Mus musculus: one gene and its partners. The protein of the gene in region 2 purifies or fractionates together with the protein of the main gene of each other region. This does not show direct contact. Links are inferred from orthologs where the notes say so. Each region holds a gene or a part of one and is shown on either strand. Other genes may lie near its edges.

Evidence for each region.
Region 1: the proteins of Map1lc3a (region 2) and Cltc purify together in Homo sapiens (affinity purification with mass spectrometry; 3 studies listed by BioGRID and IntAct, with this or other methods). This does not show direct contact. The link is inferred for Mus musculus from reciprocal best matches to the Homo sapiens genes MAP1LC3A and CLTC.
Region 3: the proteins of Map1lc3a (region 2) and Keap1 purify together in Homo sapiens (affinity purification with mass spectrometry; 3 studies listed by BioGRID and IntAct, with this or other methods). This does not show direct contact. The link is inferred for Mus musculus from reciprocal best matches to the Homo sapiens genes MAP1LC3A and KEAP1.

Annotation. Positions count from the first base shown.
Region 1 is NC_000077.6:86,754,761-86,759,013, forward strand, and holds the start of Cltc (clathrin heavy chain 1), read right to left. Parts: upstream 2,808-4,253; 5' UTR 2,530-2,807; coding exon 2,488-2,529; intron 1-2,487. UniProt on the Homo sapiens protein: Clathrin is the major protein of the polyhedral coat of coated pits and vesicles. Two different adapter protein complexes link the clathrin lattice either to the plasma membrane or to the trans-Golgi network.
Region 2 is NC_000068.7:155,274,878-155,278,704, forward strand, and holds Map1lc3a (microtubule-associated proteins 1A/1B light chain 3A), read left to right. Parts: upstream 1-1,486; 5' UTR 1,487-1,729; coding exon 1,730-1,769; intron 1,770-2,080; coding exon 2,081-2,136; intron 2,137-2,220; coding exon 2,221-2,327; intron 2,328-2,597; coding exon 2,598-2,760; 3' UTR 2,761-3,196; downstream 3,197-3,827. Other genes in the region: Pigu (phosphatidylinositol glycan anchor biosynthesis class U protein precursor), read right to left, coding at 3,659-3,772. UniProt on the Homo sapiens protein: Ubiquitin-like modifier involved in formation of autophagosomal vacuoles (autophagosomes). While LC3s are involved in elongation of the phagophore membrane, the GABARAP/GATE-16 subfamily is essential for a later stage in autophagosome maturation.
Region 3 is NC_000075.6:21,229,217-21,232,860, reverse strand, and holds the end of Keap1 (kelch-like ECH-associated protein 1), read left to right. Parts: intron 1-958; coding exon 959-1,164; intron 1,165-1,434; coding exon 1,435-1,611; intron 1,612-1,992; coding exon 1,993-2,159; 3' UTR 2,160-3,131; downstream 3,132-3,644. UniProt on the Homo sapiens protein: Substrate-specific adapter of a BCR (BTB-CUL3-RBX1) E3 ubiquitin ligase complex that regulates the response to oxidative stress by targeting NFE2L2/NRF2 for ubiquitination.

The DNA of each region.
Region 1 (4,253 bases), on a different chromosome or scaffold from region 2:
ATAGTTCCAAGCCTTGATGACAGATCTTCATCTAAACAAATGCACAAAGGGATATGAAAATAAATAGCAATTTTTTATTTGCAACATTCTCATAAAAAGTTTAAAATAAATTAATTTAGAGTTTGCTGTTAACTTTCACAAGTGAACTCTACACTCCTTACTTCCCAGTTCTCCTAAATGCTTTAGAAAGTTGTTTTCTAAGCAGAATGGCAGAGGCTGGGCAATCAAAGACTTAAGATGACAACTGGAATAATCCTTACACTGTATGTTTGTTTGTTAAAAGAGAGGGAATAAAAGTCTGAGATCAGAAGATACATTATCCTTTCGGCACACCTGACTCTATCTACTAGAGTGGGATCCTACCAGCCAAAGCCTAAAGTGTAATGAGGTCCTCCAGAAAATAAGCATCCGAGATCTTCAAGTGTATCTGTAAAGCTATTTTATAAATATTCAAAATCTTTAAATTTTGGAAAACAGTTTCAAATATTTGCAGAAATTGCTACTCACATGCCACACCTGCATTAAATCTGTTTTTAATTAGTGACAAGTTTGGATTCCAGTCTGTAAGACCATTCAACAATTCTGGTCTTGAGTTTAATAGAAATGAAAAACTATTACTCAAATCACCAGCAACGGTCATGTCATCAGCAGTTGTCTTTGCTTCTTTTGTGTAAGGTTTATACACATATTTGCAGAAAGCTATTTCTGGTAACTTCAGTGTGGCCAAGTGTTAATCCCAAAGATGGGAGAAGAAAAAACAGCAACCCAAATCATGGTCAAATTAATTAAAGCAAGCAATTAATTAAAGCTAGATTTTTTTCTGTTGTTAGTGTACACAGGCTGCCTCCCTCTTAACTCAGCCTGAAGAGCCCACTGTCCACTAACATCCAGAACAGTGCTTTCCTAACACTTTATATTCTTAACAGAGGAAACTCAAGCTTGAATTGAGAACAAAAATTAACTTCTCTGTCAGCATTGTCACTTGACATTTTTCAGACCTTTACAAAATAGAGATCTTATTGCCAAAATCAGATGAATTATTTGAAAACTAGTGATGACTGAAGAAAATGTATTCAAGTCATTTAATGGGCAAAGAAGTCCTAAAGTAAAATAATTCGTTAATGTTAGCAACACGGTAAAGTCTATAAAGAAATATTTAATTATTTTACTTGGTGCTAAATTTTAGTTAACCCTCTTTATTATCAAACATCTTTTATGTATATCAATGAAGAAAAGTAAATCAGATTGCCTTCAATGATAAAGCACTCAATAAGTTACCAATATTTGAACTGGATCACTGCACCTCCCCCTCATGAAATTAGCCCTTCAGAAGATGCAGCTGAAAGCAGATTTCTTTATGGGGATACTTGAGGGAAAGTAAATTAATATGAATAAATTATGATGTCAAAGAGTCGGGACAAGTGAACCAGGAAAATCAGCAGTTCAGAAGAAGCGTAATTCAGCGAAGCCCTCCAACAGTCACCTGCCTAGGCCAACTGCTGGCAGGTTGCCAGGTTAGACAATGGTGTATTGACTCCAGGATAAGGTGCAGTGGGGGGCGGAGGGGGGACGCCCCAGACTATTAAAAAGGAGCCAGTTACAGATCAACTTGTTAGGTACTGACACAGAGCAGGTATGCACTTAAACCCGGCTCTGATGAATTCCACGCAGTCCTGTGAGACATACTCCTGCCGTAATCCCACAACTACCTGCTAAATTCCAAAAGGCCATAAATAACCTCTAAATAACTCTCCCTACCTGCAAGAATCAAAGTGAGCCTAAGAGCTACACTAACCCTCTGAAGAAACCAAGAAAGGAAAAATATGCGCGTTCCCCTTGGGACCTTGACCCCAGGCACCGAGACTGACACCGCCCCTTGCCGCCCCTCTATCTTCTTTCTGTTCCTTCAGTGAGTGTGACCTTCGGTTCCTTATAGATTCAGGGAAGGCAAGCCACGAGCCACTGCTACCCTAACCCCAAGGTGCCTTTCTCAGTGGTGAGCTGCAGAGGGAGGATGCAGCTCCTCCCCAACCCACCCGCCACACAATTCCTGGGTGCAGACTCGATGTAGAAATGGGAATAGACCAAGGGAAGGTGACAGCCCCGCGTCGCTCAGGGTTAACGAGAAATCTTGCTCTGGGAGAAACGCGCGAGAAGCTCCCCCACCTAGCCCCTACCCAAATGAATGAACTGAGTAAAATGGGAAGGGGGGTCTGGTATGCGCAGTTCTTGCAATCCAGGAAGCAGAATAAGAGGTCGTCAGACGTAAGGCCTGGCCTCGCCGCCCTTTGCACTCCGATTCGTCATTTCCATCCTAGTCTCATATCATTTAACCCTTTAAGCTTTTAAGACACTGTCCTTCCTCCACCTATGCCAAATACCGACACCCCCCACTCCCCTTCTCTCGATCCCTTTCGGGCCAGGCCGCTAGCTTCTTCCTTCCCACGACCCTCGAAAAGTCCCTCAGCAGCCCCGACTCACACGTACCTGGAGATGCTCCTGAAAGCGAATGGGCAGAATCTGGGCCATGGCGCTGTCGGGGAGTATGGTCTCCTCCTGTCACTGGGGCTGCAGGGCAGTGCCTGCCCGGGCTCTCCAAGGGAGAGGAGGAGACGGGGAAGGGGAGGGGAGGCTGGGCTCAGAGGGATACTCTCCGGGGACGCAGGGAACTGGCAGGCAGACGAGAGAGCTTGGGTCGGGGGCGGAGGCTCCAGGGGCCGGGAGAGCCGCAATGGCGGAACCGGGAGCAGCGCAGACTCCGGAAACGGCTGAGCCCTGCGGAAGGATCCCGAGGCAGAACTCCGCCCAGTCTCCTCACGCCGTCCGCCTTATGTAGCCTTCCACAGACGCCGCGCCGCGGTCGGGCGTAGGGATTCAGGGACGCAGTGCGCGGAGCGCTCTTCGCTGATGCGGCTGCGGGGAAACAGAGGAACCGAGGGACTACTTTTTCTAGACTCATCACTTTCCCCAGGCTCCGGTTTCTCCCTTCTCCCCTCCCCCCTCCCACTTTTTTTTTTTTTTAACATTTTGCCACATCATGCGACTCGGGGCGAACTACGTCATTTCCGTAGGCGCTGTAAGACCCACCCACGCACTTCCCGGTGCACGTGATGCGGGTAGGGAAGGGTCGGTTGAAGGCTGCCAGAGTGGAGGGCGAGAGGCAAGATACTGGCCGCTGCTCCTGGGGAGGAGGTGGCGGTTGAGCCCCCTGCCGGCGTGGCGGCCTGGGCGTGAGGACACCGAGTGCCTGAGGAGAAGGCCGCGGCGTGGGTGCCGCGGTGACTAAGGGAAACGGCCCCGCCGCAGAGCTCCTCGGGCGGCTGGCTGCGGCGCGCCTCCCCCGCCTGGTTTCGCGCAGTGGGTGGTTGCTGACACCTCAGGGAGGGGGACCGTACTGAGCTGCAAGCTTCCTTGCCCTGACGCACGCCCTTCTGACGCCAGGAGAGCCGGATGGCTCCTCGAGATCCTCAGATAAACCATCTCAAAGGACAGGGAAGGCCATGGGAGAAGAATCTCCTGCTGGCCCCTGGAGAGCGCTTCCGCGGACATTTTGGTGGACTTAGATCAGCCTAGTGTAGAGATCAGTTTGGCCTTCGAGAACTGGAGGGTTCGGCCACAGGAAAAAGCTTAAAAGATGTAGATCAAAGGATGGCTAGGGAAAGAAACCTCAGGGGCTGTCTTGGAGCTGAGGGATTGACTGTTAGTCATACATGGTAGTAGGACCATTACCTGTAGTTACAGGGTGGGCGATGTAATAAGCCCTTCAAAACCGGAGCACCTTGCCTTCCTACAGCAGTAAGCTATCTGCAGCATTCATTAGCGATTAATAGCCGCCCCAGAGCTCTTGCTAAAGTGTAAGGTGTAATGTCTCACAATAGCACCAATATAAGGAAGATTTAGAGAGTTCATTTCCACATAGTTCGTCTTAATCCCCCTGAAAGTTCTTGAGGAAATTACTTTCAATGCCCCTTTCAACCTAAAGAACATAAGACAACCACTGGGTGTACAATAATTTTGCGTAAGCGGTTTTGCTTAGAGAAATCTGCTTAGTCATTTCAGTTGCGTTTAGTATTCCCCCCAAATACTGCCTTTCATATCTGGGCTGAGAGGAGAACCAGGCAAGTGAGAAGGCAGACAACAGACCCTTGAAGAAGAGCCTTGCCACCATATTTAGGATGTTTTGTGTTTACATAATTTCACTTAAGCACTTGAATGTGCCCTGTCCTGCAATGTTTGAAAAGATTGTTTTCATA
Region 2 (3,827 bases):
ACTAAATAGGACTTAAGGTCATAATTTAGGGAAGTAATCCTACCGCCCCACCCTAATTTGGGGCTGCCACATACCAGGCATTGAGCTGCCTGGAGAAGGTAGAGATGGGATATAAGGCCTGGTTGAATCCCTTTGTAGGTGGAGCCTCTAGGATCTAACATATTCCGAAAATTGAACCCACATCCTCATGCTTGCGGGCAAGCACCCTACCTGACCAAGCAGACAATAATATCTTTCCAAACAAATCCAGCTCCCTAAGACATTTAAAAAGCAAAACAAAACCCAAAACACAAGGTCTCACTATCTAGACCAGGCTGGCCTTGAACTCAAGAGACCATCCCGTCTCTGCCCACAGAGCTGGGGTTAAGGAGGCACCGCCACCCAGCCTCTTTAAGGCAATCTCAGCTGAATTCTTGTTACCTTAGCAGCTTGTTTTTGTACCAATCACTACCATTTCTGTCCATAAGCAGTTGTTTAGAATTACTCAAGCGTGCATCTGTTAACTTGGTTCCCATCAAATTTCTTCCCTTTGAGCTGTATGTTTCTGAAGTACAAACTAACTTTTTTTTTCAAACAATGGTCCTTTGTAAATTCTTTTGTTTTATCTTTTTTCTTCCTTACTTCAACTCTAGCCCATCCTCCTGCCTCAAACTCCCATAGAGCTAGGACTACAAATGAGAGCCAGCTACATCTGGCATTGATTCTGGCTTTCAATCGATTTTTAAAGTTCTTCAAGGGGCCGCCTCTCCGTGTCCGTCCAGTCCCTCTATCCCCTCCACCTCCCGCAAAACCTGAGATACTGAACTTAAGCCTTCCATCTGCTAGGCAAGTATCCTACCCTGACCCTCGGTAACATTCCCAGACCATACTTCTTTCTATCCTACCAAGGGGCTCTACCTGTAAAATCTGACTTCGCGTGTTGTCAGTTCCGAATGTTCTCCATCTCATGGTTAACCACTTCTGATATAGCCCCCCCATTCAGCGATTCTCTCCTGCTTTATCTAAACCACCTATTAACCAACCTCACTCTGGAAATCTATGCTTTCTATGGTTGTTCCAGAATTCTTTGAAAGCCTGGGTGGGGGGTCTGGAGCAATGGTTCGACAATTAAGAGCCCTTGCTATTATTTCAGAGGACCTAAGCTTGATTCCCAGCAGTGCGATTAACTCCAGCCTAAGGAAATCCGATGCTATGTTCTGCATCCGCGGGCATACACTTACAGACACATTAAAAATTTTAAAACTCTGGGTGTTCCATCCTCTCCCCGCTCCACCTTCCTTCTCGAATGCTAAACTCGATGAAGGTGCGGTGAACTACTCCGCAGCGTCGAGAGACTGGATGGAGGCGACAAATGCCTGGCTTCTGAGTCTGTGGCGCCAAAGAGAGGAGCTTGCCATCGTGACGTCACAGAACTGTGACGCGCCCTGGAGCTCCGCCTCCTTACGACCTGCGCCGGGAATCCGGGCTGTCTGCGCCGTGGCGTCACAGGTCCAGGCAGGCGGGTTTTCCGTCGGCCCAATGGGAGCGGCGCGCCGGCCTCCCCTTTAAGGAATGTTGTGACCTGACGTCACCCAGGCGAGTTACCTCCCGCAGCCGCCACCGCCAGGCTCAGCGCGAGCCCCGCAGCCCTTGAGCTCGAGCCCCGGAGCCCCCGGCGCGCCGAACCGCAGACGCATCTCTGAGCCGCGCACCCCGGAGCCCCGGCTGCGCGCCCCGCCGGGCCCGCGCGATGCCCTCCGACCGGCCTTTCAAGCAGCGGCGCAGCTTCGGTGAGGCCCTGGGGGGCGAACTGCCATCGGGGATCGAGGGATGGGGGTGCCAGTCGACCCCGATTGCCGCAGGTGACGTCAGCCCCATGACGTCAGGCACCGGCCGGCCGGACCCCGGGTGGAGAGGCCGCAAGGCCTGGCAGGGTCGCCCGCCTCCCTACCGCGTCCCCCCGGTGGAGGGCTGCGGGGCCGACGGCCCCGGGGGCGGGCGCTGGGGCGGGGCGGGCCGGGAGCCGCCCCTCGGGGATCAGCGAGGCGGAGTCGCGGGAGGCCTCAGCACCGCTGGGCCTCACACAGAGCTCTGTCCGCAGCCGACCGCTGTAAGGAGGTGCAGCAGATCCGCGACCAGCACCCCAGTAAGATCCCGGTGAGTCTCTAGCACCCCCCAGCCACGCCCTGCCCTGCCAGGTCCCGCCCTTGGCTTACGAGTCCCCCGCCCACTCCACTCCAGGTGATCATCGAGCGCTACAAGGGTGAGAAGCAGCTGCCTGTCCTGGATAAGACCAAGTTTCTGGTCCCAGACCATGTTAACATGAGCGAGTTGGTCAAGATCATCCGGTGCGTGGGCAGCCTCCTACAGGCCTTGGGTGGGGCAGGGTCAGGTTCCACAAGAAGGGATGGAGTGGGGCGAGGGGACTGATTTGGGACACCGGGCCCCTGTTCTAGGAGGCTGGAAAAGACCAAGGTCGGGGTTGGGACGAGCTTCAGTAGAGGTGAGAGCCTCTGGCTGAGATGGACCGAAAGTGAAGGTTCAGTAACATTTTGGGAGGGTCACCTAGGCCTCCAGCAGGCAGCCTCCTCACCTGGCATGCCTGCCTGCCTCCACAGGCGCCGCCTGCAACTCAACCCCACGCAGGCCTTCTTCCTGCTGGTCAACCAGCACAGCATGGTGAGCGTCTCCACACCCATCGCTGACATCTATGAACAGGAGAAGGATGAAGACGGATTCCTCTACATGGTCTACGCCTCCCAAGAAACCTTCGGCTTCTGAGTCAAGAGGAGGGGAGGGGGGTGGCTGGGAGTTCTGGTCAGGTTCTCCCCAGGGAGGTCCTGGCTCCTAAACTAAGCTATTTCAGTCCCCAGTGGATTAGGCAGAGATGTGACACCCACTCCCCCCCCCAGGTAGGGGCCACCAGCCAGCCTACCACATCCTGGGTAGGTCCTGGGCCAGTCATGTTCGGGTTGCTCTTTTGGGTGCTGGCTGGGTTGGGAGTGGGTGGGGAGCAGCATCCCTGCTCTGTGGGGTTTGTCATTTTGTTAGGCCCTTGCCTGTCTGCCCATCTTGCCCCTCATCCACCTGAGGCTTTGCCTCCTGCCAGGACCTGCCCCACCCCTGAAAGGCTGGCTCCCCTTGTCCTGACTCGGTGTATGGATCTGTGGTCATTTCCTCTGCAGAAAGAATAAAGACTGCTCAGGCCTGCCTGGCCCTTTGCCTCCAGCTGCTTGTTTGGGAGCAGGGAGGGCTGCTAGGTGACTGTGTTCACACACAGAGACAGACGCGTGTTCCCAGAAACCCACTCCTTAGTACAGGATAGCACGTAGTATTAGGGGGCCAAGCTCACTCCACTCCAGGAATACATGTCATCAGAACAACAATGAAAAAAAAAAGATCCACACATTTATTAAGTAGTCACAACCTATAAAGCCCTGCTCACCGGCTGCTTCCTTTCTGTGCACAGTCACAAAGTGGGGGTCCAAGTGGGGTGCTCCTAGCTTCTCCCCATGGGCCTTGTTGCCAGCTATGAGTCCCCTTTGGTGCCAGAGATTTGTGACCCTGGACTTGAACTTCTTCTGCCTGAGGACGCGCCTGCTGGCAACTCTGGATGAGGGACCTGGCCCAGCTTCTGGCCCTTCCCCCTCTTGTCCATGCAGCGCTGTGCCAGCCAGGGCTACTTGAGCACAAGCATGGCCTCAGTGCCGTCCTTGGCAGTCAAGTAGAGGCCGTGTGTGAGGTAATACTCCCGCCGCAGGAAGGCATAGAAGTAGTCAGAGATGAGCAGGATCTGGCAAGGAAAGAGAGTGTGAGAAGCCACAAGGCACCTTACTGAATGCTACCCT
Region 3 (3,644 bases), on a different chromosome or scaffold from region 2:
CTCAGTTGGCAGAGCACTTGCCCCGCGTTCAGGAAGCCCTCATAAACCCAGCTGTCATCCCAGCGCTCTGGGGGTAGAGGGAGGAGAATCAGGAATTCAATATTTATCTTTGGCTGTATGGCAAGTTCAAGGCCAGCCTGGGATATAAGAGACCCTGTCTCAAGACAGACAAACAACCCCCCCACACACACACACACAAATTTAGGGCTTGGAGCAAGGGTAAGAAAATGAGAAAAAATTTTAATTTTGTATTTGTAGTGCTGGGAATAGAACCTAGAAATCTATGCTTGCTAGGTCAGCTGTCTACCCCAAGCTAACCCCGCCCATGCCTGAAAATGGAAATGTAAACAAATGTGCTAGGGGCTCTAATGTGTGTGGTCTGTGAATAGGGTGGCCCCTTCAAGGACTGTAGGATGCAGGGATGGACTGGACGCTGCTGGGCTAATGGGGCGTGTTCACCCATCTCTGATCATGTTGCTCAGAGAACCACCTGGGAGACCCAGTTAGACATTTGGAGTTGAACACCTGCCCAGATGTCACTTAGTGACCCTGGATGTCCTACCCCACATGTCTGTAGCAAATCTTGTGGTGTGAGGCAATGAATCCTGCTAGGGGTGAAGTGCACAGGTGCTGCAGCCCTAAGGGGTAAAGCCGTCTAGGCTAGAGGGAATTGCTGTTGCTGTCAGTCATAATTGATGACAGTGAACCTGGATTCTGATGACCCCTCACTTCTGGAGCCAGGCCTGGTGCTGCACATCCTTCATCTCTCCGCACTGGGGAGACTAAAGCAGGAGATCGCGGAGAGTTCAAGGCTAGCTTGAACTACATAGCAGGGTTCTATCTCAAAACAAACAAAAAACCAACCAAACAAAAACCTAAAAATAAATGTGCAAGCAGATGGAGGGCCGTGGTGTAAGGGTTGACCACGGGTGACCACGGGGTATTATGTCTTTTGCAGATATGAGCCAGAGCGGGACGAGTGGCATCTAGTCGCGCCAATGTTGACACGGAGGATTGGCGTGGGCGTGGCAGTGCTCAACCGCTTGCTGTATGCAGTGGGGGGCTTTGACGGGACTAACCGGCTTAACTCCGCAGAATGTTACTATCCAGAGAGGAATGAGTGGCGGATGATCACACCGATGAATACCATCCGGAGCGGGGCCGGTGAGTGGGGGGTGGAGTGAGGACAGCCCAGCCCAGCGAGGAAGCGAGGAAGCGTTTGCTTTACCCTCCTCCCTCTGTTACATGACTGAGGCTGCCCTCGAAGTCCTTATGTCGCTGAGGTTGACTTTGAACTCCTGATCCTCCTACTCCAGCTTCTCCAGTGGTGGAGGGAAGGGCAGTGGCTACTAAAGTCCCTTGTCCAGTGGCCCTGCCCCCACCCCCCACCCCAGACCAGGCTTACGGTGACTCCCACTGTGCGCTTTCCTTTAGGGGTCTGCGTGCTGCACAACTGTATCTATGCAGCAGGGGGCTACGATGGGCAGGACCAGTTGAACAGTGTGGAGCGCTACGACGTGGAGACAGAGACCTGGACTTTCGTAGCCCCCATGAGGCATCACCGTAGTGCGCTGGGGATTACTGTGCACCAGGGCAAGATCTACGTCCTCGGTGAGGCCCTTGGAGGCTGGATCAGGGTGAAAACCACACTTGAGTGTCCATATCTTTTCTTCTCCAAGTTTTGGTGCTGAGTATAAAAGCCAGAGAGTCCCGAATGCTTGGCAAGTGTCCTTTAATTGTGCCCCGCCCCACTGGGGGATTCTGGGCCGAAGCTCTACTACTAAGCCGCTCCCCCACCCACTCTTACAACACTTCCCACCCTGTACCCCACCTTCACTGGGAAGTTTAGGCAGGGGCTCTAGACTGAACCACATTCCACCTCCAACCTATCCATCGCAAACAGGGGGCTTCTTTTCCCTTCTGTTCTCTGCCGCCTTGCGTGGTAGGCTGGGCACTCTGAGGGGGTGACCATTCTCTTCATTCTCCCTGCAGGAGGCTATGATGGCCACACTTTTCTGGACAGTGTGGAATGCTATGACCCGGACAGTGATACCTGGAGTGAGGTGACCCGCATGACATCTGGCCGCAGCGGGGTGGGTGTGGCCGTCACCATGGAACCCTGTCGGAAGCAAATTGATCAACAAAACTGTACCTGCTGAAGCACTTGGAATACCTGAGCACTGACAACAGGACAGAAAAACAGTCTGTGTATCACTGCTTCTCTGTACTAAAGAAAAAAGAAGAAAACAAAGCATAAACAGAAAACACAGGGCCGAAGAGGCGGCAGAAGAAGTCATCCCTTCTTCCAGGAAGGGCGACTGGGATGCCTTGTAAAGGACCTTGTGGAAGACCAGAACTCAAATCCATGGGCCCATCTGTCATAGCCCTGGAGCGTCCAAGTCTGGGATGGGGTATGGGCGGGGCACCCTCACAGGTGAGAAGCCCTTGAACTCCCACCACCAGAAGGGGGGGGACAGGCAAAGCAGGAGATCACATGTTTTTTTCTTTGGTTCCTGCAACTCGGTGATCAATTCCAGTGGACAGGGGAAGAAGGGACAGCTGAGGCCAAGGGGCTGAGGCTCCCTCTGGAACTGGGGCCCAAGGGACAAGCCGGCACAGAGAAGCCTCTGGGCTCTGAGCCCTGAACAGTTATTTTGTTAAATAACCCTGTAAGTTTCCCATGGGAATAAAGAATGGAGTAGGCACACAGGTCTTCAGAGGGCGGTCGGAATCCCTCAGGGAGAGACAGCTCTTCTATTGAAATACACGCAGATCCTGATGGGGCTGGTATCTGAAACCCGTCTATTGTCTCTGCTTGCCATTGTACATTCTGCTCAGACAGGGCATCTTGCTTCTTGTGGGACACACAGTTGTCTGTCAGTTTCAGGGCATTAGAAGCCAATGACCTAACTTCTGTGCCTCCTAACTTCTCCTGGGGCCTCCTGTGTTTAGCTTTATTTTGAGGCAGGGACTCACGTCGTCCGGGATGGCCTTCAGTTCAGACCTTGAACTGACGCTGCCGCCTGTCCCAGCCTACCGAGTGCTGGGGCTACATCTGTATAGCGCAATGCCTGGTTCCTGCTTATTATTTTTGTACCCAAGCAGGAAAATAAAGGTTTCTGGGACATTGGGTGTGGCTCTGAATTAACCTGACATGTATGAGCCCTGGGTTCCATCCCTAGCACCTGTAAACTAGGCACGGTGGACCACACCTGTAATCCTAGCAGCAGGGGCAGAACCATGCTGGAGTTCATACATAACCAATGAAGGCCAGCCTGGCCAATAGAGACCTTGTCTCAGAGAGTAGTGGCCAGGCAGTGGTGGCGCATGCCTTTAATCTCTGCCCTTTGGAGGCAGAGGCAGGAGGATTTCTGCCAAGTTTGAGGCCAGTTTGGTCTTCAGAGTGAAATTCAGGATAGGCAGGGCTGTTGTTATACAGAGAAACTGTCTCCAAAAAAGCAAAGCAAAACAACAACAAAAACCATGTGCAACCAAGGCTGGGCCCTTGGGACTATTTTGAAAAGCACCAGAAGAAAGACTCAGGGTCATCCTGGGCTCTCTGTGGAGCTGGAAGCTATCCTGAGCTACAGTAGACAAGGTCAACAAAGGTGCACACCTTTGATCCCAGGAGCCAGAGATGGCTC